Stegostoma tigrinum: one gene and its partners. The protein of the gene in region 1 purifies or fractionates together with the protein of each later gene. This does not show direct contact. Links are inferred from orthologs where the notes say so. Each region holds a gene or a part of one and is shown in the gene's direction. Other genes may lie near its edges.

Region 1 (7,391 bases):
TAGTAAAGGCAGTGTTGCCATTCTCAGGACTAGGCAGGGCCAGCAAGGGCACAGCTGGAAGGAAGGGATGTCTGTGTTAAACTGCATTTATTTCAATGCAAGAGGCCTGACAGGTAAGGCGAATGAATTTTGGCATGGATGGATACATGGGAACATGGGAACTGGGATATTATAGTTGTTATAGAGACATGGCTGAGGGAAGGACAGAACTGGCAGCTCAATATTCCAGGGCACAGATGGTATTGGAAGTATAGAAGGGGAGGCAAGAAAGGAGGGGGAGTAGTGTTTTTGGTTGGGGAGAACATCACAGCAGTGCTGAGAGAAGATATTCTTGAGGGTTCATCCACTGAGTCGATATGGGTAGAACTCAGAAACAAAAAGGTGACGGGATCACTTTGATAGCATTGTACAATAGGTCTCCAAAATAGTCAGCCAGAGATTGAGGAGCAAATATGTAAGGATATCACAGATAGCTGCAAGACTAATAGGGTTGTAATAGTAGAGGATTTTTACTTCCTTCACATCGAATGGGATTGCCATAGTGTTAAGGGCTTGGATGGGCATAAATTGGTTAAGTGTGTTCAGGAAGAATTTCTCAATCAGTATGTATATGACCCGACTAGAATTGGGGAAAAACTTGAGCTTCTCTTGGGAAATATGGCAGGGAAAGTGATGGAAGTGTTAATGCAGTAGCACTTTGGAACCAGTGACCATGATTCCATTAGTTTTAACTTAGCTATGGAAAAGGATAAGTCTGTTCAACAAGCTAAAGTTCTCAATTGGGCTTAGCCAATTTTGATGGTCTTAGACAGGAACTTTCAAAGTTGATTACAGGAGGCTGTTTGCATGTAAAGTGACATCTGGTAAGTGGAAGGCTTTCAAAATTGAGATGGGGATTCAGGACCAGCATGTTCCTGTTAGAGTGAAGGGTAAGGTTGGCAGGAGCAGGGAACCCTGGATGAGTTATTGAGGCCCTGGTCAAAATAAAGAAGGAGGCATATGACATGTATAGGCAGCAGGGACGAAGTGAATTCCCTGAGAAGTATAAAGGATTTCGGAGTACACTTAAGAGAGAAATCAGGAGGGCTAAAAGTGGACACAAGATGGCTTTGGCAGATAAGTTAAAGGAGAATCCAAAGCAATTCTACAAGTATACAAAGGGCAAAAGAGTATCTGGGGACAGAATAGGGTCTCTTAAAGATCAACAACATTGTTTATGAGCAGAGCCAAAAAAGATGGGTGATATCCTAAATGCATATTTGTCATTGATATTTACCATCAAGAATGGAATGGACACGAGGGAACTTGGGGGAAATAAATAGTGATGCCTTGAAAAGAATTCACATTACAGAAGAGGAGGTGCTGGAAGCTTTAAGAAGCATTAAGGTAGATGAATCCCCAGAACCCAATGAACAGTATCATTGTCAGAGGCTAGGGAGGAAATTGCAGGGGGTGGAGATATTTGTATAATCAACAGCCACCTGTGATGCAACTGAAGATTGGAGGGTGGCTAATGTTGTGTCATTATTTAAGAAACACTGAAGGGAAACGCCTGGGAACTATAGACTGGTGAGCCTAACATCTGTGATGGGTGAGTTGTTCGAGGGCATTTGGAGAGGCAACAACTCATTTGGGATAGTCAGCATGTCTCACGAATTTGAGTTTTTTGAAGAGGGGACCAAGAGAGTAGATGAAGACTAAGTGGTCGATGATGTCTACATGGTCTTTAGCAAGGCCTTTGACACAATACCAAACAAAAGGCTGTTGAGTATGGTTATATCTCATGAGATCCAGAGAGAAGTAGCCAACTGTATACAAAAGTAGCTTGACAGTAGAAGACAAATGATGGTGATAAGAGATTGTTTTTCACACTGGAGTCCTGTGACCAGCAGTGTGCCACAGGGTTTGGTGCTGGGTCCACTGTTATTTGTCATTTATATAAATGATTTGAATGAGAATTTAGGGGGTATGGATGAAACTTAGTGGTATAGTGACAGTGAAGAAGGTTATCTTCGAATGCAGCGAGATCTTGATCAACTGAGCCAGTGGGCTGAGGAATAGCAGATGGAGTTTAACTTAGATAAAGGCACGATGTTGCGTTTTGGGGGGTCAAACCAGAGCAGGACAGAGATCTAAAGGTACAGGTTCATAGCTCCTTGAAATTAGAGTCACAGGTAGACAGAGTGGTGAAGAAGACTTTCAACATGCTTGTTTTCATCAGTCAGAGCACTGGGTATAGAAGTTGGGATGTCTTGTTGCAGCTATACAAGATGTTTGGAGCACTGCATGCATTCTGGCCTCCATTATAGAAAGAATATAAGTAAACTAGGAAGAGCTCAGAAAGATTTACTAGGATTCTATCAGGACTGGAAGGTTTGAGTTCTAAGGAGAGGTTGGATAGGCTGGGACTTTGTTCCTTGGAGCAAAGAAGGCTGAAGGCAATCTTATGAATGTCTACAAAATCATACGAGTTATTGATAAGGTAGATAGCCAACAGCTTTTCCCCTTGGAAGGGGAGTCTAAAACCAGAGGCCATAGGTTTAGCTTGAGAGGGAAAACATAAACCAGGATCTAGAGGGGCAAATTTTTCACACAGAGGGTAGAGAGTGTCTGGAACAGCCTGCAAGACATAGTGGTAGAAGTGACTACAACTTCATCATCATTTAGGAAACATTTAGACACATACATGGATGGGATAGATATGGAAGGATATCGACCAAATGTATGCAAATGAGACTAGTTTAATTGAGACCACTTCAGGGGTTTCAATGAGATCACCTTGGTGGCTTAGTGGTTAGCACTACAGCCTCAAAGCACCAGGGACCCAGGTTCAATCCCAGCCTCCGGCGACTGTCTGTGTGGAGTCGCACATTCTCCCCGTGTCTGCCTGGGTTTCCTCCAGGTGCTCCGGTTTACTCCCACAGTCCAAAGATGTGCAGTCTAGTGGATTGGCCATGCTAAATTGCCCATAGTGTTCAGGGGTGTGTGGGTTATAGGGGAATGGGTCTGGGTGGGATGCTTCAAGGGGCGGTGTGGACTTGTTGGACCGAAGGGCCTGTTTCCACGCTGTAGGTAATCTAATCTAATCTAAAACTGGACGCATGGGTAAGTGGGGCCTAAGGGTCTGTTTCCATGCTGTAGACCTCTATTACTCTATCTAATACATTACTTAAAACCAATTTTTTGATCAAGTTTTTGGCCATTTGTTCTTATACTTCCTCCAGCTACAGTCAAAAATATTTTTACTGATAAAGCACATTGTTAAGCACGTGTTTTATATGTTATTATGGTTGTAGTATGTGATCAACCATACCTGTCTCAATGACTTTTACAGCAGAAGGTGACCAGTTTCTGAACGTAACAAAAACTGAAAGAACTGCAGATGCTGTACATGAGGAGCAAAAACAGAAGTTGCTGGAAAAGCTGAGCAGGTCAGAACCTTGAGTTCTGAGGAAGGATCACTGGACCCGAAACGTTAACATTGATATTTCCTCCACAGACGCTGCCAGACTTGCTGAGCTTTTCCAGCAACTTGTTTCAATTTCTGAATTTGCTGGCAGTAAAAGATAAATTTATATAATGTGCTGCCTAGAAGTACGTAGAATTCTCGGTGTGCAGGTTGCGAGGATTTCTATGCGCAGATTTTGACAAGATGGCTAGCTATCGTTTATCCTATATCTTCAGCATATAATACTATTTGTCCCAGACATCAGATTCCTTAAGTAATTGCGCTGTTCGGAACTTTGTTGTGGCAAGAGACTCCGAAGAAGACTTCAGACACATTTCACGGATGCCCTCAAAGGCATGAACTTTCCCATCACCTCATGGGAGTCCCTCGCTTGTCGATGAACTCAAATGCAAAAGGAAGGCATTGGGAGCATGCTGAAGCAAAACTGAAGCGTTGGTGACAGCACAGAAATCTCCAAATACCTAATGTTCTTGACCCTTCAAGCACAACTTATTCTGCATGTGGCAAAGTCTGCAGGTCAGCGAGGTATCATTCTGGACTGGAGGCGCAACCCCAGTTTCTCTCCACAGAAGCTGCCAGACCTGAGTTTCTCAGGTAATTTCTGTTTTCGTTTCAGGTTTGCAGTGTCCTCCGTATTTTGCTTTTATTGCTTGAACACACAATACCGCCTGAGAATGTTTGTGGGATGGAGGCTGAAGAATCTGAACATCGTTTACTCGGTGCATTTAGAGAGATACAATTGCTCTAGCCGTTCAGCATAAACACCCTACAGCTTTCCAACTCCCCCGACACCGCGGGTGCACCGCCGGACAGCAAGCAAGAGGAGCACGGCTCTGACGTGCGCGCCGTCCGGACGGTCTGGGCGTCGCACGTGCGCGCTCTCGCACTCGCGGGGTGTCGCGCGCACTCGAGCGGTGACGGTGCCGCGCCGGAGATGGGGATTGGCGAGTGGGGCTGCGCGGCGGAGCGGAGATACGGAGAGTGAGGGGGAGCCAGAGCCGGATCGGCAGGGCCAGGGAGGAGGAGGAGGGTGAGGACGGCCTTTAAACGGGTGAGTGGTGTAGGCCCCGGACTGCGGGCTGCAAACCGTGGCCCTTGTCTGTATGTCCGTCCGGTTTGGATGCTGTTCCCGTTTGGCCCACTCCGAGCAGGGAGACTCTTCGGACGCTCTGGGTTCTGACCGGAATTGTGAGTGATGGGGATGGAGGAGGCTGCGGCTGGGCCCTGCCTCTCCTCCCCTCCCCTCCCCTCCCCTTCCCTTCCCTCAGGGCAGCCACGGCGGAGGAGGCCGAGGCCCCGACCCTGAGCCCATGGAGATAAACCGAATGCCGGCAAAGGGCCTGGGGGTCGGGACTGGGGGAAGGAGAGACAACATGGAGCTGCTGATCCGGCTTTCCAGCCGAGTTTCAGCTGGCACCTCTTACTCAATCCAGACTGTGGAGAATAGAAATGTTACATTAATAAAACTCCTTGTCAAAGGAGTGGACATTTGCAGCACGCTCTCTTCTCCCCCCCCCCCCCAGGTTTGTTTTCTTTAAAATTGCTGATACATGGATGAGAGTTGACCTGGGCCAACTGGGAGACATGGGTTTAGTTTGTGTTCGGGACTGAAGTGGACTCTTGTCTGGTCTCTGTCTTCGAGCCGGGAGGATGAGATGGCTTGGTTGTGGTGTGTGGGGGCGGGCGGTTGTTGTTTGTGAGAAGGGACCACTGCAATTCCAACTGCATGCTGCCCTCCTGGCAATCACAAAGTGTCCGTGACCATGACGAAGCAGCCAGCAGCACGTCTTAATATTTGTACACAAGCGCTTTTGGCCAAAATCTTTCTCGATCTTCTTGCTGGTAGTGGGCATTACAATCCAGGGCACCCGATGTGATTGAAGAGGGAGCAGCGTTTGCAGGTTTTGCCGTTTAACGAAATGCATTTTCTCAGGGTGTTTTAAAAATGTTTTCTGGATTCCTGTCAGCTGTAGCTGACTCCCCGCCCGCCCCTTGCTTGCAAGTTCCAAGATCCGAGAATTCCTGGATTCCTCTGCCTCTGCTGACAGAAGTAGAATATTGCAGCATCTTAGTACCAGGCCTCTAAAAAAGGCCCAGTAATATCTGCAAGTATACAGCCCGATGAGCTGTTTACAGCTTTGTAATTACTGTGTATAGATATATGGGAGATTTAAAAATCTGAAAAGGAAAATTACAGTTGTCGTGACCCACTAACGTTGCTCAAATGACAGCTGGTATAATTCAGGAAAGCCCTGCAAATCCGTTGAATTTAGATTGTCTTTGTAAAATAAAATTTCTTCTCTGTAAAATCAAAAAGAACATAGAACAATACAGCGCAGAACAGGCCCTTCGGCCCTCGATGTTGCGCCGACCTGTGAACTAATCTAAGCCCCTCCCCCTACACTATCCCATCATCACCCATATGCTTAGCCAAGGAGTTAAGACCGTAACATGAAATTTAATCATAATTACTTTAGGAAGATGTGTGCAGAGTGCAAAGCCTCAATTTCTCGTGTTTAATAGTGTATTAGTTTGCTGTTTGTGTTGTTTATGGCTTATGGTTGTATGAAAGTTATTGGTTGTCAGTATTCAAATTAATGTCCAAAATATTATTTGAAATTAGTTAAAACTGTATCTTAAATTACAGGTCTTGAATTCTGTTCATGCTAAGTATTTATGTTGAGAGCTTTTTTGAACAAAATCTTGACTTGTCTCAAGCCTGATACCTATAATATATTTATGTTGAATGTCTGGTTTTCTTACACAGCCCATGATGCTTCGTTTGCTGTGGCCACCTGGACAGTTATCTCCAAGTTGCAGATATTTTGCTAAATCACCTCCTCTTGATAGCTAATTCATTTGTAGTACTGTATAGGACTGCATGAACCCATGGTTTGACCAGTGACTAAGAGTACAGCCTTTTCAGTTACTGCAGTTTGGAGTTTTTGCATTTATGAACTTACATATTTGATTGTCCTATAAATCAGAAGAGGGTCAAAGTACATACAAGAACACCTTTAAAAGAAGTTCTTGTGATTTGACATTAGTTTAGCTTGGTTTTCAAACTGTTATTCAAGAAGTGAGCTAGGGATGAAGCAGGAAACTACAGACCAGTCAGTCAAACCTCTGATAACAAGGTGCAGAGCTGGATGAACACAGCAGGCCAAGCAGCATCAAAGGAGCAGGAAGGCTGACGTTTCGGGTCAAGACCCTTCTTCAGAAATGGGGGAGGGGAAGGGGATTCTGAAATGAAAAGGGAGACGGGGGAGGTGAATAGCAGATGGATAAAGGAGAAAGTAGGGTGAGAGGAGACAGACAGGTCAAAGAGGCGGGGATGGAGCCAGTAAAGTTGAATGTAGGTGGGGAGTTAGGGAAGCGATAGAGATTCCTGCTCCTTTGTTTGGCCTGGTGTCCATCCAGCTCTACACCTTGTTATCTCAGATTCTCCAGCATCTGCAGTTCCTAGCATCTCAATCTAACCCCAATAGTCGGGAAGCTAATAGGAACAATTCTGAAGTACAAAATTAATCTGCCTTTTGGATAGGCAAGAATTCATCAAGAATAATAACATAGTGTCGTTAAGCGGAGTACATGTCTGACCAATTTGAATCCTTCAAAGAGATAACTGGGTGTGTAGATGAGGGCAATACATTGGACGTAATTGATTGGAAGCAAGGCAGTTGATAAGATCTTGTACGGGAGACTGATAGCAAAGGTAAAAGCCTATGGGATCCAGAATTGGCTGAATGACAGGAAGAAGAGGCTGATGGTTGAGATGTGTTTTTGACTGGAAGCCTGTGCCAGGTGGGATTCTGCAGAGATCAGTATTGTGGCGCTTGCTGTTTGTGGTATATATAAATGGTTTAGCCTTGAACGTAAGAAGTTTAATCAGTAAGTTCACTGATGGCCCAGACATTAGTGA
Region 2 (7,185 bases), on another chromosome or scaffold:
TATTATGGGTGACTTCAATCTACATATAGATTAGGCTAACCAAACTGATAGTAATGTGATGGAGGAGGATTTCCTAGAATGTATGACCAACATGTCAAGGAACCAATGAGATAGAGAGCCATCTTAGACTGGGTATTGTGTAATGAAAGAGGATTAATTAGCAACATTGTCGTACAACATCCTTTTGGGAAGATTAGCTATAATATGGTAGAATTCTTCATTAATATGGAGAGTGACACAGTTAAATCTGAGTCTAGGGTCCTCAAGTTAAAGAAAGCTAACTTTGATGGTATGAGGCATGTATTGGCTAGGATAAACTAGGCAAGGGTACTTAACAGGTTGATGGTGGATAGACAATGGCAGACATTTAGAGAACACATGGATGAACTTCAACAATTCTACATCTATGTCTTGACTTATCACAGATCATATTTATCTCTTCAGTATGGAAACAGGCCCTTCTGCCCAACAAGTCCACACTGAACCTTAGAGCATCCAACCCAGACCCATCCCCTTATAACCCACCTAACACATCCCTGAACACTATGGACAACTCATCATGGCCCATCCATCTAGCCTGCACTAGGACATTTTGGACTGTCGGAGAAAACTGGAGCACCCGAAGGAAACCCATGCAGACACGGGGAGAATGTGCAAACTCCACACAGGCAGTCACCTGAGGCTGGAATCGAACCTTGGTCCCTGGCACTGTGAGGCAGCAGTGCTAACTACTGAGCCACCGTGCTGCCCCAATAAAGGCAAGTGTCCCTATTGCCTTCTTAATTACCCTATTAACCTGCTCTGCCAACTTCAAGGATCTGTGTTCAAGCATCCCAAGATCCCTCTGTTTCTTATGAGTTTCCTTCAGTGCTTTGTGTCTTGTCACTTATTTTAATGTGCAACACCACACACATATCAGGGTTAAATTCTATCTGCCACAGATTTGACTAAACTGTCTATATCCTCCCAAAGCTCAAGACCTTCTACCTCATTGTCAACCACCTGGTCAATTTTTACGTCATCTGCAAACTTACTTATCATCTTCTCTGACATTTTCATTTACATCATTTATATATATATATAAAATCAAAAATCAAGAGGGGACCCAGCCCCAATCCCTTGGTACATCAGTGGACACTGGCCTCCAGTCACATAAACAGTCTTCTCCCAACACACTCTCTCTCCTGACACTTAATCCAATTTTGGAACCAACTTGCTAAGTTACCCTCTTTATCAGTCTCCCATGTGGAACCTCGTTGAAAGTCTTAACTGGAATTTATGTTAATTATATCAACAGCACTACACTCATTTACATACTTGGGCAGCTCATCAAAAAGTTCAGTTACATTTGTTCAGCATGACCTCTTCTGACAAAACCATGCTGACTACCCCTGAGCAAACCTTGCTCTCTAACTGGAGATTAATCTTTTTTCTTCAGAATTTTCTCAAAAGTTTCCCTATCGTTGATGTGACGCTTGCTCATGAGCACTTCACTGTTCTATTGCTGTACTATTCTTGACAGGTGAATGAGCTGTCTTCCAGTCCTCAGGCACTTCTATGGCCAAAGAGGGAGTAAAAAATTGGGTCAGGGCCCTGTGATTTCCTCCTTCAGAAAATAATTTCATGAAATGTAAATTCATGTTTATGGAGGTTTTTTTTCATAAATCCTATACAGCAATGAATACCCACCCCCTTCTTTATCAAAAGTATTTCCAGCACTTATCTGCCCCTTTTATTGGTGTTGGCAGTGGCTCATATAATATCCTAAACTGTTTACCACAACATAGAGAAATAGAGGAGAAATTAAAGAAGACAATTTAAAGCATCAACAATCAAACTTATCAGGGCCTTCAAAGGTAGTGTGTAAAGTACAAAAGCAAAGACATTGAGAAGTGAATTCCAAAGTGCTGAGGTAATGGCTCTACTATTGTTGATTGAGATGTGGACAGAAAGTGACAAAGTAAACCAGAGTCAGAAATATGGAGTCCTGCACATTGTCCCTACAAAACAGTTGGCTGAAGACTCAGGGTAACAAAGTGTGGGGCTGGATGAACACAGCAGGCCAAGCAGCATCTTAGGTGCACATAAGCTGACGTTTCGGGCCTAGACCTTTCATCAGAAAAAGGGGATGGGGAGAGGATACTATCCCAACAGACAGCATATCGCATTCTCCTGTCACACTTGTGGTTAGTGAACAACATTGGTTTCTGACATGGAAAGAGCCCAATTTTAGTTTTCTCACCACTATTTTCAAATCCATTCATGGTTTTGCTCCCTTTATTTCCAAAAATTCTTCAAACATATGACTCTCTGAGATCTGTATACCTGTACATCTCCAATTCTCACTACTTGCACACTCTCAATTTTCATCAGTCATACCTTCAGGTAGCTGAGCCCTAACCTCCCAAAAAATCTTTGTTTTTCCCTTTCTTTAAAATCCCCTCCAATCTCCCACTAGGATAAAGATTTTCGTCAGTTGTCTAAATGTATCAATGCATTCCTTAGTGCCAAATTTTATGCGATAACACTTTCAATTTAGTGCACTGCGATTACACTGGAGGAGTTATTCAAATTTAAAATGTTTTCAATGTTTCAATTGGAATATTTTTCATGGGAAGCCTTCTGGATGAGCTTAGCTAAATTGGAACTCAGGATTGTAAAATAGGCATTCAAATAGAATGAGTACTGACTGAGATTTAAAGCATGGAAGTAAGAAAGATTAAATAATATTGATGGTAAAATGTGAGGCTGAATGAACACAGCAGGCCAAGCAGCATCTCAGGAGCACAAAAGCTGACGTTTCGGGCCTAGACCTTTCATCAGAAAAAGGGGATGGGGAGAGGATACTATCCCAACAGACAGCATATCGCATTCTCCTGTCACACTTGTGGTTAGTGAACAACATTGGTTTCTGACATGGAAAGAGCCCAATTTTAGTTTTCTCACCACTATTTTCAAATCCATTCATGGTTTTGCTCCCTTTATTTCCAAAAATTCTTCAAACATATGACTCTCTGAGATCTGTATACCTGTACATCTCCAATTCTCACTACTTGCACACTCTCAATTTTCATCAGTCATACCTTCAGGTAGCTGAGCCCTAACCTCCCAAAAAATCTTTGTTTTTCCCTTTCTTTAAAATCCCCTCCAATCTCCCACTAGGATAAAGATTTTCGTCAGTTGTCTAAATGTATCAATGCATTCCTTAGTGCCAAATTTTATGCGATAACACTTTCAATTTAGTGCACTGCGATTACACTGGAGGAGTTATTCAAATTTAAAATGTTTTCAATGTTTCAATTGGAATATTTTTCATGGGAAGCCTTCTGGATGAGCTTAGCTAAATTGGAACTCAGGATTGTAAAATAGGCATTCAAATAGAATGAGTACTGACTGAGATTTAAAGCATGGAAGTAAGAAAGATTAAATAATATTGATGGTAAAATGTGAGGCTGAATGAACACAGCAGGCCAAGCAGCATCTCAGGAGCACAAAAGCTGACGTTTCGGGCCTATCATCTGATGAAGGGTCTAGGCCCGAAACGTCAGCTTTTGTGCTCCTGAGATGCTGTTTGGCCTGCTGTATTCATCCAGCCTCACATTTTATCATCTTGGAATTCTCCAGCATCTGCAGTTCCCATTATCTCAAATAATATTGATGGCTTTGTTTTTAGGGCTAAGGCGAGTTGAGTCAAAAAGAGAAGAAATATGTAGGTGGATCTACTTGGTCATGCAGTCCTTCAGCCATCGGAAGTCTGGAGCTATATAAATGCAAGCTTAAAGTCAACGCCTTTAAAGTCCAGCATCACCCACATGGTGTCGCTCGTGAGCTGGTCTGAACAAGTAAGTGTCATCGTTCAGTGGTATATCCACATAGCATAACAATCCCACAGCTCGGTTAACGAACTGTGTGAATTCCCAATGAAAGAAAATGCATTGCTGCAAGAATTCATTACCTGGTAGGTGTTCAATGCAGTGTACTTTTAATGTATAAAGAGCGCAATGTTGATTTTAATCCGGCCAAGAGGAATCGTGCAGCACACTGTTAAGAGAGCAATCCCCCAACCGATTACGCTAAAATATTGCATGGGCAAAGTAACCAAATCGATTACATAGCTAAAGTGTTGCAGTACAGCTTTAAATCGACGTTGCCTGGGTGTGTTTTCGGTGTGTGACCATTAAGAAGCAACGACATCTCAGCCCTTCATCAGCTCACATTCCTCACATTCCACATTTCTGATGTCACGAGGCGCAGATCTTTTTTTCCAAACCCACAAACTGTGACCATGTTATTTAATCGAAAATAGTCTCGGCTGCAAGGGGACGACTAGGAAAAAAGAAAGGAGGGAGGTTAAAACAAAACAACTTGGCGATCACAAAGGCTCTCGGACCGCTGGCAGCTGCTGAAGAGTTCAGAATAGCAAACAAGAAAGTGGGCAGAAAGAAAGTTTCACCAAACAAAAGTAGTTCTTGAGCGGATGAGGTAGGGCTCTCCGTGTAACTTCAAACACTTCTGGTGAGCAGACGGACCCTGGTCCCGCGGTCCTTTAGACGAGTGGATCCTTTATCCAGAAAGGGATTTTTGTGCTAGTTTCTGCTTGTGGAAACTTTTCTCCTCCCCCCCCCCCCAACTCCCCAAACAAGAAAGGAAGAAAACACGTTGGAAAGTTTGAAGGGACGCGTGCAGTTTGTGGTTTTAATGGACTGATCAGACACAATAAAGACATGTAAACAGGTAAGGGAACTGGAGATCCTAAGTCCAAGAGCTTGCCTATTTGATTGACTATAGAAAGATAGATATACCAGAGAAGCATAGCCTTTTGATCCAAGATTTCTACTTGTCCTTGAGTGGTTTGTAGGAGTAAGTCAGACATGCCGATTAAAGGGAGGTTGTCTGCCTTACTCTCCGGCTCAAATGCCAGCATTCCTCGACAGCCCCCTTTTTTTCCAACCGCCTTGATGGTGAGGGGAAGGTCCAAGCCAAGGTATGACAGCGAGTATTTGTTTAGATTCAACTCTTCACAATACAATTCCTATAACAGAAATCTATGGCCCGCCCTCCAAGGAGGCTAACTTCAGCCTGTACTTTGTTGCAGTATATTTAAAGAGACCGTCTCGCGTTTCGGTGGCTAGGCTGACTAATGAAATAATTGTGAAAATGCCATCTCTGCCGAAATTCCACACTTAAAAGATGCTTTACTGGAATAAACGCTTTGCAAAAGTTTCCAGACTGTAGTGTAAACTGATAGATGAAGGCGATGACTCTTTGTGTGGGAGACAAGGGTTAATTTCTTTTACTTAATCATAAGGAATTGCATTGTTCAGATGAATTCTCAAAATATGAAAGCAAAATTTTAAATAAGAATATGATTTTTAAGTGCATTACTTGAATTTTGACGTTGGATCGTTGCTCAAATTTGTCAAAATATGGCTTTTTGTTCCAAGTTGGCTTCTGCATTGTTGCGATTCTGTTTTCTGATTGAAGTACCGTATTGGAAACAAAAGATGGTGTTGACTTTGAGAAGACAGTTCACTTAGTGAACGCATCTTGCAATAGAATTTGCAGTTTTACCATTTAATATTAACACTTGTGTAAAAAATTGGAATATTTGTATAAAGTTTTGAATGAAGCCTCCAACTATATTTTCATATTTATTAAATTTTACATATTTTCAATGTGCCTCTTCGAGCAGACTAAATTTGACAACATTTAGTTACAGCAGTGTAAACAATCTGATCTGAATTCCCATTTGTCACTGATCCACATTATGGACTAATCAACTATAAACTCGCAGTTTTGAAGCATATGACCTATAGGTATGCTGGAGTTCAAATTTGGGGGAAATCTGTGGCATAAACACCAGACGAAATCAACCTTGCATTAATGTTGTCACATTTTTCAAGAAGATCCAGCAGTTTAATGAATCCTAGACTTGCACTATGGTAACTCTGCTATGAAAAGCAATAGGAATTTTGGACTGAAGCAATAAAATCAGGAATAATGGACAATCTGATTATTGTTTATATATTGGAATTATGTTTGTTACAGAAGTGTGGAGATAACACTACCTCTTAAATAAACCTGTTATGATATCAGGTTATGTTTACCACGCTGTTGGATGACCTTAGCTTTGATTAATGTTCACTGTTCAAAACCAGAACCCAATATCTTCAGCTCTTCTTGGCTTTCGTTTAAAGTCTAAGGGATCCAAAACATTTGACAGAAATATATTACTGTAAGTTGGCTGCATTACAATGGTGACTACACTGCAAATGTACTTCATTGCTGTAAATCGCTGAGATGTCTACTGCACATGGAAAGCACAATATCATTGCATGTCATTCTTTTAATTTTATTTTGAAAAAATGAATGTTCAATGTAATCCTTTTTAACCAATTTGAATATATAAATATTTCCTCAATTTTCAGATTTTTATTTAACGTATTTTCACCTAATCTCATGCCTGCAACTGAAATTGTGTACAAAGTCAGTTTGTAGCCCATCACTAATACAACTGCCAGTCGGCATTAGAGACCACACAGATGTGAGTCCCTAGTCATGCTGTGTCCCTCTGTTACTTTCTCATTGCTGAGTCATAATCCCAATGCTCCCCCCTTAACAATACTGTGGGCATATCTACACCATATGGACTGCAGTGGATTAACAAGGCAGCTCACTACCACCTGCTTATGGACTATTGATGAGGTAATAAATGCTGGCCTTGCCAGACTGTATCCTGTGAATGGATATTTTAAAATAAAAGTTGCACTCAGCTGCAATCTCCTTTTGATGGGTTTCACGGTGATGCTGTGTCTACCTGTTGGGCAGTTGCAAAAAATCCCATGGTACAGTTCAAAGAAGACCTTATTTTCGAAGCGTCTGCTAGATTTTCGATATTACAAAAATGATTAAAATTTGAAAAGCATGTAATTGACATTGCAGAGTTTTGGGATGTTCTAAGGTCGTGAAAGGCATGATAAAAATGAAAATAAAAGCAATATACTGTGGATGCTGGAGATCTGAACTAATTTAAAAAATGTGTTGGAGAAAGTTAGCAAGTTTAGCAGCATCTGTGGAGTGAGAAGGAGTCAACAATTTAAGCCCCACGGCTTTTCTTCCGAACTCTTCTGCCCTGAAGAGTTATATTGTGCTCAAATTGTTAACTCTGTTTCTCTCTCTACAGGT
Region 3 (7,775 bases), on another chromosome or scaffold:
TGCACTCATATTCTCATGAAGTAGATGGAAGATTATTACAATTTATGTAACTGATTTGGGTGAAGGGGCCAAAGGTATAGTAGCTAAATTTGCGGATGTTACACAGAGAGCGGTAGAAAAGTGATTTAAGAGGACATAAGGAGCTTAGGTTAAGTGGATAGATAGATTAAGTGGGTGGGAAAAGATCTGGCAAATGGAATGCAGTGTATGAAGGTGTGAAATTGTCCACTTTGGCAGAAAGAATAAAAAAGAAATGCAGTATCTAAATGATGAGAGGTTGCAGAGCTCTGAGATACAGAGAGCTTATGCCCTAGTGCATGATTTGCAGAAGGCTAGTTTGCAGGTGCGGCAAGTAATCAGGAAAGTTAATAGAATGTTATGCTTAGTTTTGAGAGAAATTGTACACAAGAGCAGAGAGGTCATGCTTCAGTTACACAAGGTAAGACTGCTTCTGGAGTACTGTACACAATATAGGTCACTGTACTTACAGAGAATGTTAACGTGTTTAAAAAAGTTCACGGAAGGTTTACCAGACTAATACCTAAAATGAGTGGATTATCTTGTGTGGAAATGCCAATCAGGCTAGCACCTTATCCTCTGGAGTTTAAAGATTCAGATGTGACTTAATTGAAACATGTAAGTCCTGAGTGGACGTGACCAATGTTAAAAGAATGCTTCCTCTTCTGGAAGAATCTAGAACTAGCGGTCATAGTTTAAAAATAAGGGGTCACCCATTTACAAGGAAACATTTTCTCTCAGAAGGTTGCGAAACTTTAAAATTCCCTTTCTCAAAAGGCAGTGGATGCAGAATCTTTAAATTTTTTTGGCCGAAGTAGATAGATTCTTGATTAACAAGGGGATAAAGGATAATTGGGGATATGCAGGAATTGGAGTTGAGGGTATAATCAGATTAGCCATGATCTTATTGAATGGCAGACCAGGTTCGAAGGGTCAAGTGGCCTATTCCTGTTCTTTGTTCGTATGTTTGTATATTCATACTATGATAAATTTTCTTGGACATCCAAACCTTTGAAGCAGAACCACAAAGCCTTGTGATTTACTGAGTCAAATGTTTCGGTCAGGACATTGAATGTGATTCTCACCATTCTTCTTGGATTTGTCTGGCAGCAAAGACCACGTCAGAGGTTCCTCTGGAAAGTATAAAGTCACAATGTATCTATGAGAAGATATCCTTAGCTACAGGAAATAGGTGACTTAGGAGAATATGTCAGGATTTTCATTGCTATGGGCAAGAGGGAAGCATCATTGTTCTGACAGCATGACTGACCTTCCTTCTTGAAGATAGTTACAACTGTCACATTCTTGAAATTGAGTGAAGTGTGTGGGGAAGAGTATTCTTTTACTCCCCAAGTATGTAGGATGAATGCATTAAGTCTAGATCTGAGCAAAAACCCACCATCTTGAAAGACATCAACTGGAAATGGTAGATTTTAGAGCTTGATTGCTTGTTACAGTTTGTTAACGGCATAGAAGGCACCTCCCATATCTTTTTAACACATTAAAAGTGAAAGCATCAAATAGATTCCAGAGGAGATAGCCGATGCTGGAGTCAAAGATAACACAGTGTGGAGCCGGAGGAACACAAGCATGCCAGGCAGCATCAGAGGAGTAGGAAAGTTGATGTTACGGGTTGGGACCCTTTTTTTCCCTAAAACACAACTGCAAAGGAGAGCCTTGAGGAGCTAATGAAAAATGTTCAATAATAGAATACACAGAAGGAAAAATAATGGAATAGCAAAAACAGGTAAAGGGTGTATTAGAAGCTAAACGTACCATAAAACAACCACAGCATATTCCTTAAACATAAACAGTCAACACGGCTTTGTGAGGGGTAGGTCATGCCTTACAAACCTTATCGAGTTTTTTGAGGATGTGACTAGAAAGGTTGATGAGGGTCGAGCTGTGGATGTGGTGTATATGGACTTCAGTAAGGCATTTGATAAGGGTCCCCATGGTAGGCTCATTCAGAAGGTCAGGAGGAATGGGATACAGGGGAACTTAGCTGCTTGGATACAGAATTGGCTGGCCAACAGAAGACAGCGAGTGGTAGTAGAAGGAAAATATTCTGCCTGGAAGTCAGTGGTGAGTGGAGTTCCACAGGGCTCTGTCCTTGGGCCTCTACTGTTTGTAATTTTTATTAATGACTTGGACGAGGGAATTGAAGGATGGGTCAGCAAGTTTGCAGACGACACAAAGGTCGGAGGTGTCGTTGACAGTGTAGAGGGCTGTTGTAGGCTGCAGCGGGACATTGACAGGATGCAGAGATGGGCTGAGAGGTGGCAGATGGAGTTCAACCTGGATAAATGCGAGGTGATGCATTTTGGAAGGTCGAATTTGAAAGCTGAGTACAGGATTAAGGATAGGATTCTTGGCAGCGTGGAGGAACAGAGGGATCTTGGTGTGCAGATACATAGATCCCTTAAAATGGCCACCCAAGTGGACAGGGTTGTTAAGAAAGCATATGGTGTTTTGGCTTTCATTAACAGGGGGATTGAGTTTAAGAGTCGTGAGATCTTGTTGCAGCTCTATAAAACTTTGGTTAGACCGCACTTGGAATACTGCGTCCAGTTCTGGGCGCCCTATTATAGGAAAGATGTGGATGCTTTGGAGAGGGTTCAGAGGAGGTTTACCAGGATGCTGCCTGGACTGGAGGGCTTATCTTATGAAGAGAGGTTGACTGAGCTCGGTCTCTTTTCATTGGAGAAAAGGAGGAGGAGAGGGGACCTAATTGAGGTATACAAGATAATGAGAGGCATAGATAGAGTTGATAGCCAGAGACTATTTCCCAGGGCAGAAATGGCTAGCACGAGGGGTCATAGTTTTAAGCTGGTTGGTGGAAAGTATAGAGGGGATGTCAGAGGCAGGTTCTTTACGCAGAGAGTTGTGAGAGCATGGAATGCGTTGCCAGCAGCAGTTGTGGAAGCAAGGTCATTGGGGTCATTTAAGAGACTGCTGGACATGTATATGGTCACAGAAATTTGAGGGTGCATACATGAGGATCAATGGTCGGCACAACATTGTGGGCTGAAGGGCCTGTTCTGTGCTGTACTGTTCTATGTTCTATGTTCTATATGAATGCAGTGAAAGTTGCTGGGGTCGATAAGCTGGTGAAAAGCTACAAAGTGTTGCTTTGCAAATTTGCTGATTTCCCAAACCCCACGAGACTGGGTGAGTTGTCGTGAAAATGAGAAACACAGTAACTTATGTCAAGGTTGTTCTCCTCCATCCTTAAGTCAGGAAATATCATTACATTTTTGTGCCCAGTCCCTTCTTTTGCATGTGACTTTTCAGAAGGGTCACTTTTCCGTTGCTCATGTATTGTGTACAGTTCAGTGTGCTACATTACAGAAGCGATGTGAATATATTGAAAAGAGTGCAGAAGCAATTGAGAAGAATGGTTCCAGGTGTGAGAAATTTCAATTACGAGGATAGATTGAAAAGTTGGAATGTTTGCCATGGAGAAAAGATGGCTAAGAGGAAGCCGTCTGAGGAACGGTCACCGGACCCAAAACATTAACTCTGTTTTTTCCTTCACAGATGCTGCTAGACCTGCTGAGCTTTACCGGCAACTTTGTTTTTGTGGCTAAAAGGAGACTTGATAGAATTTTCAAAAATCATCAAGACTTGATAACTTGGTTAGGGAGGGTCAGTTACTGCTCAGTCAAGAACCAGAGGACACAGATTTAAACTCATTTGAAAACAAGCAAATTTGATGCAAGGAAAGGACTTTTTCACACAGCATGTTGTCTGGAAGCATGACATGGAATGCAACAGAGGCAGTTCACTTGAGGCATTCAAAAGGGCATTGGAAAATTATTTGAATAAAAATAATGTTGAAGGATACGAGGTAAAAATGCTCACTTGAATAGTTGGTACAAACACAATGGGCTAAAAGGCCTCTTTTTGCACCATAACAATTCAGTAGTTGAGGATTAGCAGCTGGTTTACATTTGTTTTAAACATAAGGGAACGGGGATATGGAAACCTCATCACCAAGAATCCGAATCAGTTGCTTATATTTTCTAATCAGCACGTTGAAACATGCTATTACTCACCTCTGAGGCAGGTGGGACTTGAACTCAGGTCTACTAGACCTAGAGGTAGGGATACTACAACCGCTCCACAATAATCCTTGTGGCAGATGATTTGCAGACTGATGGCCAAGACTAGAGTCACAGAGTCATACGGCAGAGAAACAAGCCATTCGATCCAAACAGTCCATGCCGACCATAATCCCAAACTAAACTAGTCCCAGCTGCCTGCACCTGGCCCATGTCTCTCCAAGCATTTCCTATTAATGTACGTATCTAGAACAAGTAGTATATCGACGATAATGGGAACTGCAGATGCTGGAGAATCCAAGATAACAAAGTGTGAAGGTGGACGAACACAGCAGGACAAGCAGCAACTCAGGAGCACAAAAGCTGACGTTTCGGGCCTAGACCCTTCATCAGAGGAATGGTCTAGGCCCGAAACATCAGCTTTTACGCTCCTGAGATGCTGCTTGGCCTGCTGTGTTCATCCAGCTCCACACTTTGTTTACTAGTTTATCGGCATGCGGCAGATGTCATTGGAATCACAAACGGTCCATTTGATTTAATTTACACGAAACATCCGCACGCATAAAAGTAAAACAAATGGACGACTCGAAAAAATTCGGCACAGTTTCCAAACACGCTCCTTCGCGACAAGCATCCCACCGTCTCCTCGTTGCTACTGGAGACGGGAAGGCACGTGACCGTGGCGTGACCTTTGTCCTCTGCTCATGTGACTGCGAGTCACACGGTCACTCACTGAAGGAGGTGTCGTCCATCTGTACTCTGAGCAGACGGACAGATAGGTGGGTGTGGGTTTATTTTTCTTTCTGAACAAGTTCAGTTGTAGTTCGGGAAATATTCTTTTCCCCCCACGAACCGAAATCCATCAATTACTGGGAGCAAGAGGCCTATCTAGGGGAGGAGGGGCCGGTTACTGGCTGCCTGGTCAGTAGGTGTGGGTTGGAATTTGCTGATCGGGTATATTGTGTTTGCAGATCAGTCCCATTTAGTCAAGTTTGTTTCACGTCCTGTGGGTAACCTTCGAAGGCATCGATCCTAAACTTTCTGTTGACTTAACTTTGGGGGGAGGGTGGTTGGGAAGAGTTACAATTTTCTATTACCACGCGCGAGTGTGGTGAGGATACGAACTTTGGAAACCGAAACAGAAATTGCTGGAGAATCTCTGAAGGTCTGTGGAGAGAAAACAGTTAATGTTTGGAGTTCGGTGACCGTTTTAGAGAACACATGCAAAAATAAAGTTCTGATCGTGTTTTTGTTTTCCAGCATTTATAGTTTCTTAAGGTTTTTTAAGAGGATATAAACGTTTCCTGCTTACAGTCCCTAAACGAACGAGTACCAGTTTTTAAAATTACACTGCGCAGGATCTTGATTCCCTAAACAGTGGATCCAATTTTCTATGCTACCCCACTCCACTATTAATTCACCTCTTAGCTTTAAGCCGCGTGATTCGATCAGCTCTTCAGCCTCTAATTCTCAGACATTTGATTTATTTTAGTCATGTGTACCTAACCACAGTGAAAAGTTTTGTCTTGTGAGCAGTACAGGCAGTTCATTGCAAACAAGGACATACAGATCATAGGGTGCTTACAGCAAGGCACACGAGGTTTCAGCTATACAGCAGATGCATGAAGCAAGATCAACACTATTTGATGTTAGAGAGTTTTTTCAGTAGTCTAACAGTAGAGAAGAAGCTGTTCTTGAACCATTTGGTATGTGTTTTCAGGCTTCTGTATCTTCTGCCTGATTGAAGAGGTTGGAAGAGAGTATTATTGGGGTGGGAGGGTCTTTGGCAGCTTTTCTATGGCAATGAATAGCAATTCTAGTTGATACTTCTTACAAATTTATTTTTCTATACGAGAATCTTTCTGCTGAATGTATTTACATTGTACTCTCCATGGTTGTGCACTGGTTTTGCTTTTTAGTTGTAAGTTTAACTCAAGGCCTTCAAGAATTTGGTAATACACTGAACTGATGTGCAGTTTATAATACTTAAATAATACTTGCATTATTCAATGCAGTACAGCACACAAACAGAATACTGTGTCCAATTTTGGGCCCCACACCTCAGGAAGGACATACTGGCACTGGAGCCTGTCCAGCAGAAATTCAGACGAATGATCCCTGGAATGATAGGCCTAACGTACAATGAACGGCTGAGGATCCTGGGATTTTATTCATTGGAGTTGACAAGGTTGAGGGGAGATCTAATAGAAACACCGAAGATAATGCATGGCTTAGAAAGGGTGGATGCTGGGAGGTTGTTTCCGTTAGGTAGGGAGACTAGGACCCGTGGGCACAGCCTTAGAATTAGAGGGGTAAATTTAGAACGGAAATGAGGAGACATTTCATCAGCCTGAGAGTGGTGGACCTGTGGAATTCATTGCCACGGAGCGCAGTGGAGGCAGGGACGTTACATGTCTTAAAGGCAGAGATTGATAATTTCTTGATCACACAAGGAATTAAGGGCTACGGGGAGAGTGCAGGTAAATGGAGTTGAAATACCCATCAGCCATGATTAAATGGCAGAGTGGACTCGATGGGCCGAATAGCCTTACTTCCACTCCTGTGTCTTATGGTCTTATGGTCTAAGGTCCATTAAGGTTTCCCATACACAGTTTCTGTTCCTTTGTTTGCCTCCACTTCTGTGCCTCCATAAGATATGTCTTAATTGTTGCTAACATGCCTGCTTCCACAACGTCCACTAGCAGTGTGTTCCAGGCACCCAACAATTTGTGTGAAGAATCTTCCTTGCACTTCTCCCTCAGACCACCCTCTCTCTCCTTGAACCTGCGCTGTTTTGTAATTGACCTTTCCATCCTTGGGGGAAATCCTCTGACAATTCACCCTATCCATGTCTCATAATTTTGCAGACCTCTATCAAGTCACCCCTCAGCTCTGTCTTTCCAGAAAAAAAGCAATGAGTTTATCCAGCTTCACGTAACTAAAGCTTGCCTGATCTGGTAAACCTTCTTGAGCATCCACTTGCTTCTGGTTGTCTGGTGGCCAGAACTGCCCACAGTATTCAAATGTGGCCTAACTTAAAATTTTATACATCTTCAACATAACTTGCCAACTTTTATATTCAGTGCCCCAGCTAATGAAGGGTCTAGGCCTGAAATGTCAGCCTTCCTGCTCCTCTGATGCTGCATGGCCTGCTGTGTTTATCCAGCTCCACACCTTGTTATCCAAACGTTCTGTATGTCTTCTTGATGACCTTATCCACATGTTCAGGGATTTGTGGACCTGTGCACCCAGATTCTTCCACATCAATGCACATAAGGATTCTGCCATTTATTATATAATTCACATCAGAATTTGTTCTCCCAGAATGGATTACTTTTCATTTGTCTAGATTAAACTCCATCTGCTATTTCTTTGCCCAAATCTGCTGTATCCTTTGACAATCCTCGTCACTATCTGCAACCCTACCAATTTTGGAGTCATCCACAAACTTAGTAATCAGCGCATGTATGTTTTCCATTCATACTATACAAAACAAACAGGAAAGTTAATAACCTCCTTACTATAGAAAGGTACGCCAAAGAGAAAGGGTCAAAATGTTGAGAGATATCAGAAAAAGATGGAAAGCTTGGTTAGAGATAAGTTTTAAGGAAGGTCTTAAAGGTATAGAAATCCTGCGGTGCTTATTTCGGGAGCTAGGTGGCAGATTAAAAAGCAGGATCTCAAAGATTGTAA
Region 4 (7,473 bases), on another chromosome or scaffold:
GGATGGGGTGAGGGTTCTGGAATAAATAGGGAGAGAGGGGGAGGCGGACCGAAGATGGAGAGAAAAGAAGATAGGTGGAGAGGAGTGTGTAGGTGGGGAGGTAGGGATGGGATAGGTCAGTCCAGGGAAGATGGACAGGTCAAGGAGGTGGGATGAGGTTAGTAGGTAGGAGATAGGGAGCTGCGGCTTGGGGTGGGAGGAAGGGATGGGTGAGAGGAAGAACAGGTTAGGGAGGCAGAGACAGGGTGGACTGGTTTTGGGATGCAGTGGGGGGAGGGGAAGAGCTGGGCTGGTTCGCGACTGGGAGGTGCAGTTTATTGCGAACCGAGCAGAGGTGTTCTGCAAAGCGGTCCCCAAGCCTCCGCTTGGTTTCCCCAATGTAGAGGAAGCCACGCCGGGTACAATGGATACAGTATACCACATTGGCAGATGTGCAGGTGAACCTCTGCTTAACATGGAAAGTCATCTTGGGGCCTGGGATAGGGGTGAGGGAGGAGGTGTGGGGGCAAGTGTAGCATTTCCTGCGGTTGCAGGGGAAGGTGCCGGGTGTGGTGGGGTTGGAGGGCAGTGTGGATAAGCTTTACCTGTCTTTACAGGCGAGCCGGGGCACCGGGGCATACTGCCTGCGCTCCCCATGTCATAGTATACAGTCAAACTTCCAGGGATCGAACCTGAGACACCAGAATTGCAGGAGTTTCGCTCCGAACCCGAGGAAACCGCGGCTCGCGAGCAAAATTAGCGTTCAAACGGGAATATATTTCTGTTTGAAATTTTCACAGCTTTCTTGACAATTTAAATAAGCTCCAAACACAAAAAAAGTTACACGACTCCTTACCGCCTAATCAAACATCGTAATTGTTGCTCAATTTTATACTTCATAGTTGGTGGATTTTTAAAACTTGTAATAAAGCAGCGTTGCCCAACGTTGCCCTACGTGTTCCCCAGTTTCCACGCATGACGGTTTGGTGAGATGTATCTGGCAAATGGATGCTGTTCATTTTTGGAACCATGCAGCACTGAGGTATGTTGCAAATGTGACAGGGGTGTGAGGATGGGTATCACTGGCTGGACTGTTACACACCTGGACTGTATTTTCTCAAACGTCTGTAATTGAACAACGAAGAACCCAGCATGTTGTGGAGAGTTTTCGTGGCGGAACGGAAACTTAACCTTTTAAGCAACTGCAAATCCTATTTTCACCAGGTATGTGTCGTAACACGCTCGATGTAAAAATATGTTCAGTAGCTTTCTAAGGAAGGGTCACTGGACCCGAAACGTTAACTCTCTCCACAGATGCTGGCAGACCTGCTGAGCTTTTCCATCAATTTCGATTGTTCACTAACTTGCTGTTGGACAGGAGTCACATATCCGTCAGAGCTGGATTATTTTGGCACAATATAGTCTGGTTGTTCCTTATCCAGTGGCCTGGAAGTTGAAGGGCCACCTGTTCCATGAAACAAAGATACTCAGCGATTGTTTCCTTCTGAGGGTGCCTCTAAATATTAGATGTATTTAAATATCCTGTGTCGCTCTGTCAAGTGCTGTGACAGCAGACTAGCCTTTGAAAGAAGATTGCTGTCAAGCTATTTTGGAGGAAATGTAGTGACACAGGATGTCACCTGAAGGGATAGCAGGAACTGCAGATGCTGGAGAATCTGAGATAACAAGGTGTAGAGCTGGATGAACACAGCAGGCCAGGCAGCATCAGGGGAGCAGGAAAGCTGACGTTTCGGGCCTAGACACTTCTTCAGAAAAAGAATAATAATTAATTCTAAATATTAACATACTTTACTTACTATGAAGGAGTAATGTTAATGTGAATGCCATGTCTAAGGCAATTGTTAGGTTACACTGAAGGGGCAGAGTATCATAATGCCCCTTTTCTGAAGAAGGGTCTAGGCCCGAAACATCAGCCTTCCTGCTCCTCTGATGCATCTTGGCCTGCTGTGTGCATCCAGCTCTACATCTTGTTATCCCATGTCACCTGAAGAGCTAGATATTGTTTAGCTGATGGTTGGGGGTTTTGACAGAACAGTGGGAATGCAGAAGTGACGGACAACATGCTAATTTTGGTGAGTTCGGTTCAATCTTCATTTTAATAACGCTGTTGAAATAATTGAACCAAAGAACCCGGGTACCATCGGCGGCAAAGGCGATTACAGAATGGTCTTGTATCCCGGCACTGTTTGGAATTGGACGGTGGCAGCGTAAACAAAACACTAATCGGAACCAAAGCCATTACCGCGATATTTGTCAATTCTTCAGCCTGGGTCTTGAGTCTCTTATCACGCCAGTTCTGAGAAAATGGAGACATTTCACCTCTGAAGAAACGTGTTTCTTCTAAAAGAAACTGGAGGACACTTGTCAGAACCAAAACACTACTTGTAGATTGTCATCACCCTTTGAGAGTGTATTACAGCAGGTTTGCCTTGGGAGTGGCTGGATTGCAAAATCCTTTTGAAGCTGTTATTCTGGCTCTGGGTATATTTGTTTTTGAAGATTTAAACCTCGAATCTGATTTCAAAAGATTGTTAACCTGTTTTATCAATATTACATAGATTTCCTAACAGGGGATGAACGCTCGGAAAGGAACAAAATCCTATTGAAAAAAACAAAAAAATGAAAATCCAAATAGTGTTTGAATTCTTAACTGATTTACCACACTACTCCAAAGTATCCTTACGGTCACTATCCCACATTCCAACATGCTCAAGTTCCCATGGGCACAAAGCCCTACAATATGGAACTTCACAGAGTCACTTTCTTCCAACTCAACACTTCATTGTGATTCTCTGCCCCTTCAGTGCAACCTAACAGTCGCCTTAGATATGGCATTCACACTAACATTACTCCTTAATAGTAAGTAAAATATCTTAATATTTGTGATTAATTTTTTATACTCAGTAGATAAATAACATGAGTACTGGAGTTGAGACGTCATGTTACGGCCAAGCAGGACATTGGTGAGACCACTTTTAGAATACAGCCTACAAGTCAAGACACCCTTCCATAGGAAGGTTGATGCTAAATTTGAGATGGTAGAGCAAAGATTTACAAGGATGTTGTCGGGACAGGAGGATTCCAGTTATAAGGAGAGCTGAATAGCTAGGGCTCCCCCCGCCACCCCCGGACTGTCTGTGGCTGGGGCGTGACCTTACAGAGGTTTATAAAATTTTGAGGGGCGTGGATGAAGCGGATAGCCAAGATCTTTTTCCTAGGGTGGGAGAGTCCAAAACTAGACGGCGTGGGTTTAATGCGAGAGGGGAAAGTTCAAAAAGGACTCAAGGGGTAATTTTTACACGCAGAGAGTGGTGCATGTGTGGATCCAGCTGCCAGGGGAAGTGGTGGAGGCTGGTAAAATAAGGACATTTAAATGGCATCTGGACCGGTGTATGAATAGGAAGTGTTTAGAGGGATATGGGCCAAATGCTGGCAAATGGGACTTGCTCAGATTGGAATGCATGGTCGGTGCAGACGAAATGGACCAAGGTGAGTTTCCGTGCTGTATGACACAATGGCTATAGTGAGTATATCAAGTGAGTATTTCTATTTTGGGATCCAACTCTGGGGATCAGGATTCGCAGTTCAGTCATGTACAACCAGGCACAGAACATTTTTTCATACATTCACGGCTTGTTGAGGTAACAATGACAATGCTAGCATTCACGGCCCATCCTTAATTACCTCATGTGAAATTGGGGCTTAAAACACAGCAGCCCATTGTCGAGATGGTAACAACTGCCAATGAAGTCCACTGTAGAGATAGTAAGAACTGCCGATGCTGCAGTCAGAGATAACACAGTGTGGAGCTGGAGGAACGCAGCAGGTCAGGCAGCATCAAAGGAGCAGGAAAGTTGACGTTTCGGGTCGGGACCCTCCTGGCTTGCTGCCTTCCTCCAGCTCCACATTGAGTTATTCGCAGTCCATTTTGATAACTTTTAGTATCATGGCCAGATCAAATGACCGTTAAGAGTCAGCCACAAAGCTGCGAACCAGAAGATATACGAGCAAGACTGGGCTATGATGGCCGATTTCTTTCCCTTAAGGCAATTAGTAAATCGGTTGAGCAGTTATTGTCAACCACTATTACTGATGATAATATTTAATTCGAGATTTATTTAATTCACTGAACGTAATCTTCTAACTGCTGAGGTGGAATTTGAATTGCCATTTCTCGACCTCTTGACATCCTCGGGGTTCCGGGTAATTTTTTGCCTGGTTTTTGCGACAGCAGGATCTGGCATGTAGCCTTCGCCGGGGCCGGGGAAGGACAATTGTCAAGACAAGGAAGCAAGATGAGCCACATCGACCGCTTAAACGGGCGAAAAGGAGTTTTCGAAAGAACCCACTAGTTCGATGTAATGGGAAACTTGGAGAATGCCTTTCCTGCAGGTTGTCTGCACCGTTCCTTCCGGGGCGAGCAACAGCCTGCGCGCGCCGGCTGCTGACGCCGTACGTCAGCGCACACGCACACAGGCCCTTCTCGAGGCGCAGGGGGAGAAGAGAAAGGGTCAAAGCTGCGAAGGGGAAGGGTGTATCTCTACGGCCCTTCTGGCCTGGAGGGAGGTACGGGTTGGCTGCTGGCTTAACCCGGTCTCTCCCTTCAGTAGGTGAATGGTCAAGAAAGGGTATATTTTGCCGTGTTAAGGAGAAGTTGGGAGTGAGCCAGCAGCTTCTGTTTCTTTTTCCATCCCCCACCCCCCCACACACCCTGAATTACAGGGCGGCTTGTTTTTGTTTTGCTTTCGGTGAGAGAGAATAAGAAGAACGAGCGGCCTTCCTTCCTGAGAGGAAAGAAAAAATTCTGATTTCGGTGGTAGTGAGGGAAGAAGCGACGTTTCCCGAAAAGAAGCGTGCGTTGTTTTTTTTAACGCCCGTTTTCTGTCAGTTTTTAGCTTTCTCCTCCTTGCCTTTCCCACGCCGGATCTTGCAGTGATGGTAAATACGGTGTAATATTCAAGGAAAAATATGGGAAATTGTTTGAAGTCTCCTACGTCAGATGATATTTCTTTGCTCCATGAGTCTTCTGACCGGGCGAGTTACGGAGACGGTACCGAAATAGATCAGGAGCCGCCGCCGCCATATCAGGTTCGTCTTTGTTTGGACAAGTTTTCTTTTTGTCTCCAGTCTGGTGTATCTCAACGAATTGGTGCTGAATTTATCCACCTGCCTAAGATAACCAGGCATTACGATGTTGAAATATAATGTCTTATATTTGACCACTTTCAACACTTTTCGCTTGGGTTGTGTCTAAAGAACTCCTTTATTTACCACTTACCCGATCGAAATAAAAGAAAATACCTCCTCAGTTGTAAACCAACAAAGTAAAACCCTAGCTATCTCGGACTGAAGAATTTTGAGGAGGCAAGGTGAGATAGTTGAACAATTGTTTTCATACGGATAATTGCCATATTTTAAGTTTATTGACTTGTGTTGACAGATTTGTAATTTCAACTATTTTAACAAAACATGTAGAATTTGAAGCCACTGGCTTGTCATTACCGAAAATTGAAAACATACGAGAGCTTACTTACGTACGCAGTTGTCATTTGCAAGTGATATGGGGCCTCATTATTTCAGGTACTAATTAAATGAACTTACTTATTTGTTCCAGGAGCCAACTTGTGCAATTTGTCTCACCGTTGTTATATGTTTTACTTTGTGTTAGTAGAGATAATGCAGTCAAGGGGAAACAAAAAGGCATTGTGAAGTTAGTACTTATTGTACTTGTTGTGGTGGGGAAACTCCTGTTTTCTGTTCACTGTAGACTAATCTGTTTTGTCTTGTACAAATGGATCACTTGTATGTGGCACATTTGGCACAGACATTGAACTTTGGTATGTCACATTTCAGTAGAAAGTTGATTAATAAAAAGCACTTTTTTAATAGCTTCAAGCTTTGGTTCAATATTCGTCAAAAATGCCATCAATATGTGGCACTGGAATTTTTATCTAATTGGCTCCAAATCCCCTGCACTGACAGAACATCTTCTCATTTCTTGTCTGAGCTTCTCATATCTGTTGCTTTATATATTGTCCAGCATTCTTTATGGAATTATGTTGATGTACTGGGATGGCACGGTGGCTCAGTGGTTAGCATTGCTACCTCACAGTGCCAGGGACCTGGGTTTGATTCCAGCCTAGGGCAGCTGTCAGTGTGGAGTTTGCATGTTCTCACTGTGCCTGCGTGGGTTTTCTCTGGGTGCTCTGGTTCCCTCCCGCATCCAAAGATGTGTGGGTTCGGTGGATTGGCCATGCTAAATTGCCGATTGTACCTAGGGTGGGAAATGCAGGAATAGGTTAGGGGGTGGGCCTGAGTGAGATGCTGTCCGGAGTGTTGGTGTGGTCTTGATGGGCCAAATATTCTGATTCCACACTGTGAGGATTCTATGATGTCCTTGGTGGAAACTGTGTAAACTTGTGTTTTGGCATTTTCTCATCACAGATTTTAATGGTTATCTGAACTTGAGTGATTTGAGCCCAATACGTTTACTTACTGAAGAATTAACATTCTTAAGAATATAAGATAATTGTTTTGAACTAGAGGCAACTTGATTATCAATTATTTGCTTTATTATAAATGTTGGTAATGGCTTGTGCTGGAACAAGAAACAAGGGCAAATAGGCAAACTTTACCTTAGAACCTTTTAAGAAACTGTTTCATCTTTTAAACAGAAATCCTATAAATTCTGACCAGATGCATGGTTCTATCACTTGTGCATGATGTTACGATGCCATTGTTGGTACATTTTACCCATGTTGGAAATTCTGTCTAGTACTTTTGTCTGCTGTCACTGACCCTTTGAATAACTTGGTCTTAATTACAAATTATGTTTTGTGTTAACAATTGTAGATAGTTAAATTTTGTTTGAGAATTGGTGTAATGTGCTTTTTAAAACTAACTGTATATTGATGAATTCTGGAGTTGTCATATCTACACGTTCATCAAATGACTAGCTTGTACCTTGACAAATTTCTTCTGGTACAACTCAATTTACGATATTTCCTCATTTTAAAATGAAATTTGCAATAGACTTATTCAGGTTACTTTTGTTACCTTCTGATTATTATCAGAACACCAGTGATTGTAAGTCTAGGTTTCTGATATTTCTTTCCCATCTCCTGTTCCTCTCCCCCCCCCCCCCCCCACCAGCCATGTAAAAATACTTGACAGCAATTTTAATATTTATAGTGGCTGTCAAGATAGTAATTTCCACAGAGAGAAGAGGATTAACAATTTAGAAAATTGAATAAAGATGTAGTCATAGATATCAGCCTTCTTGAGGCTTTAAATGTGGGCAGCGTAAAGAAAATTGAAAAGTACAGAGAGTTTGTTGGGGCGGTGGGGGAGAGACCAAAATTGTTGATAGCTAACTGAGAAGCACATGGGAGAGTGTGTGGATACACAGGGAATGAGAATCTCAAAAATGTACGATGTGGTCCAGAGTGTGCAAGGTTAGAGGAGACTGCACAG

What was found.
Region 2: the proteins of NEDD4-like E3 ubiquitin-protein ligase WWP1 (region 1) and tyrosine-protein phosphatase non-receptor type 14-like purify together in Homo sapiens (affinity purification with mass spectrometry; 3 studies listed by BioGRID). This does not show direct contact. The link is inferred for Stegostoma tigrinum from reciprocal best matches to the Homo sapiens genes WWP1 and PTPN14.
Region 3: the proteins of NEDD4-like E3 ubiquitin-protein ligase WWP1 (region 1) and sparta purify together in Homo sapiens (affinity purification with mass spectrometry; 5 studies listed by BioGRID and IntAct, counting the BioPlex papers as one, with this or other methods). This does not show direct contact. The link is inferred for Stegostoma tigrinum from reciprocal best matches to the Homo sapiens genes WWP1 and SPART.
Region 4: the proteins of NEDD4-like E3 ubiquitin-protein ligase WWP1 (region 1) and rnf11b purify together in Homo sapiens (affinity purification with mass spectrometry; 3 studies listed by BioGRID, with this or other methods). This does not show direct contact. The link is inferred for Stegostoma tigrinum from reciprocal best matches to the Homo sapiens genes WWP1 and RNF11.

The regions. Positions count from the first base shown.
Region 1 is NC_081358.1:85,846,364-85,853,754, forward strand, and holds the start of NEDD4-like E3 ubiquitin-protein ligase WWP1, read left to right. Parts: upstream 1-4,388; 5' UTR 4,389-4,520; intron 4,521-7,391. UniProt on the Homo sapiens protein: E3 ubiquitin-protein ligase which accepts ubiquitin from an E2 ubiquitin-conjugating enzyme in the form of a thioester and then directly transfers the ubiquitin to targeted substrates.
Region 2 is NC_081362.1:57,060,643-57,067,827, reverse strand, and holds the start of tyrosine-protein phosphatase non-receptor type 14-like, read left to right. Parts: upstream 1-4,181; 5' UTR 4,182-4,482; exon of another isoform or gene 4,483-4,734; intron 4,735-7,185. UniProt on the Homo sapiens protein: Protein tyrosine phosphatase which may play a role in the regulation of lymphangiogenesis, cell-cell adhesion, cell-matrix adhesion, cell migration, cell growth and also regulates TGF-beta gene expression, thereby modulating epithelial-mesenchymal transition.
Region 3 is NC_081359.1:84,998,703-85,006,477, reverse strand, and holds the start of sparta (spartin a), read left to right. Parts: upstream 1-4,770; 5' UTR 4,771-4,861; intron 4,862-7,775. UniProt on the Homo sapiens protein: Lipophagy receptor that plays an important role in lipid droplet (LD) turnover in motor neurons.
Region 4 is NC_081361.1:63,166,587-63,174,059, forward strand, and holds the start of rnf11b (RING finger protein 11b), read left to right. Parts: upstream 1-4,464; 5' UTR 4,465-4,968; coding exon 4,969-5,088; intron 5,089-7,473. UniProt on the Homo sapiens protein: Essential component of a ubiquitin-editing protein complex, comprising also TNFAIP3, ITCH and TAX1BP1, that ensures the transient nature of inflammatory signaling pathways. Promotes the association of TNFAIP3 to RIPK1 after TNF stimulation.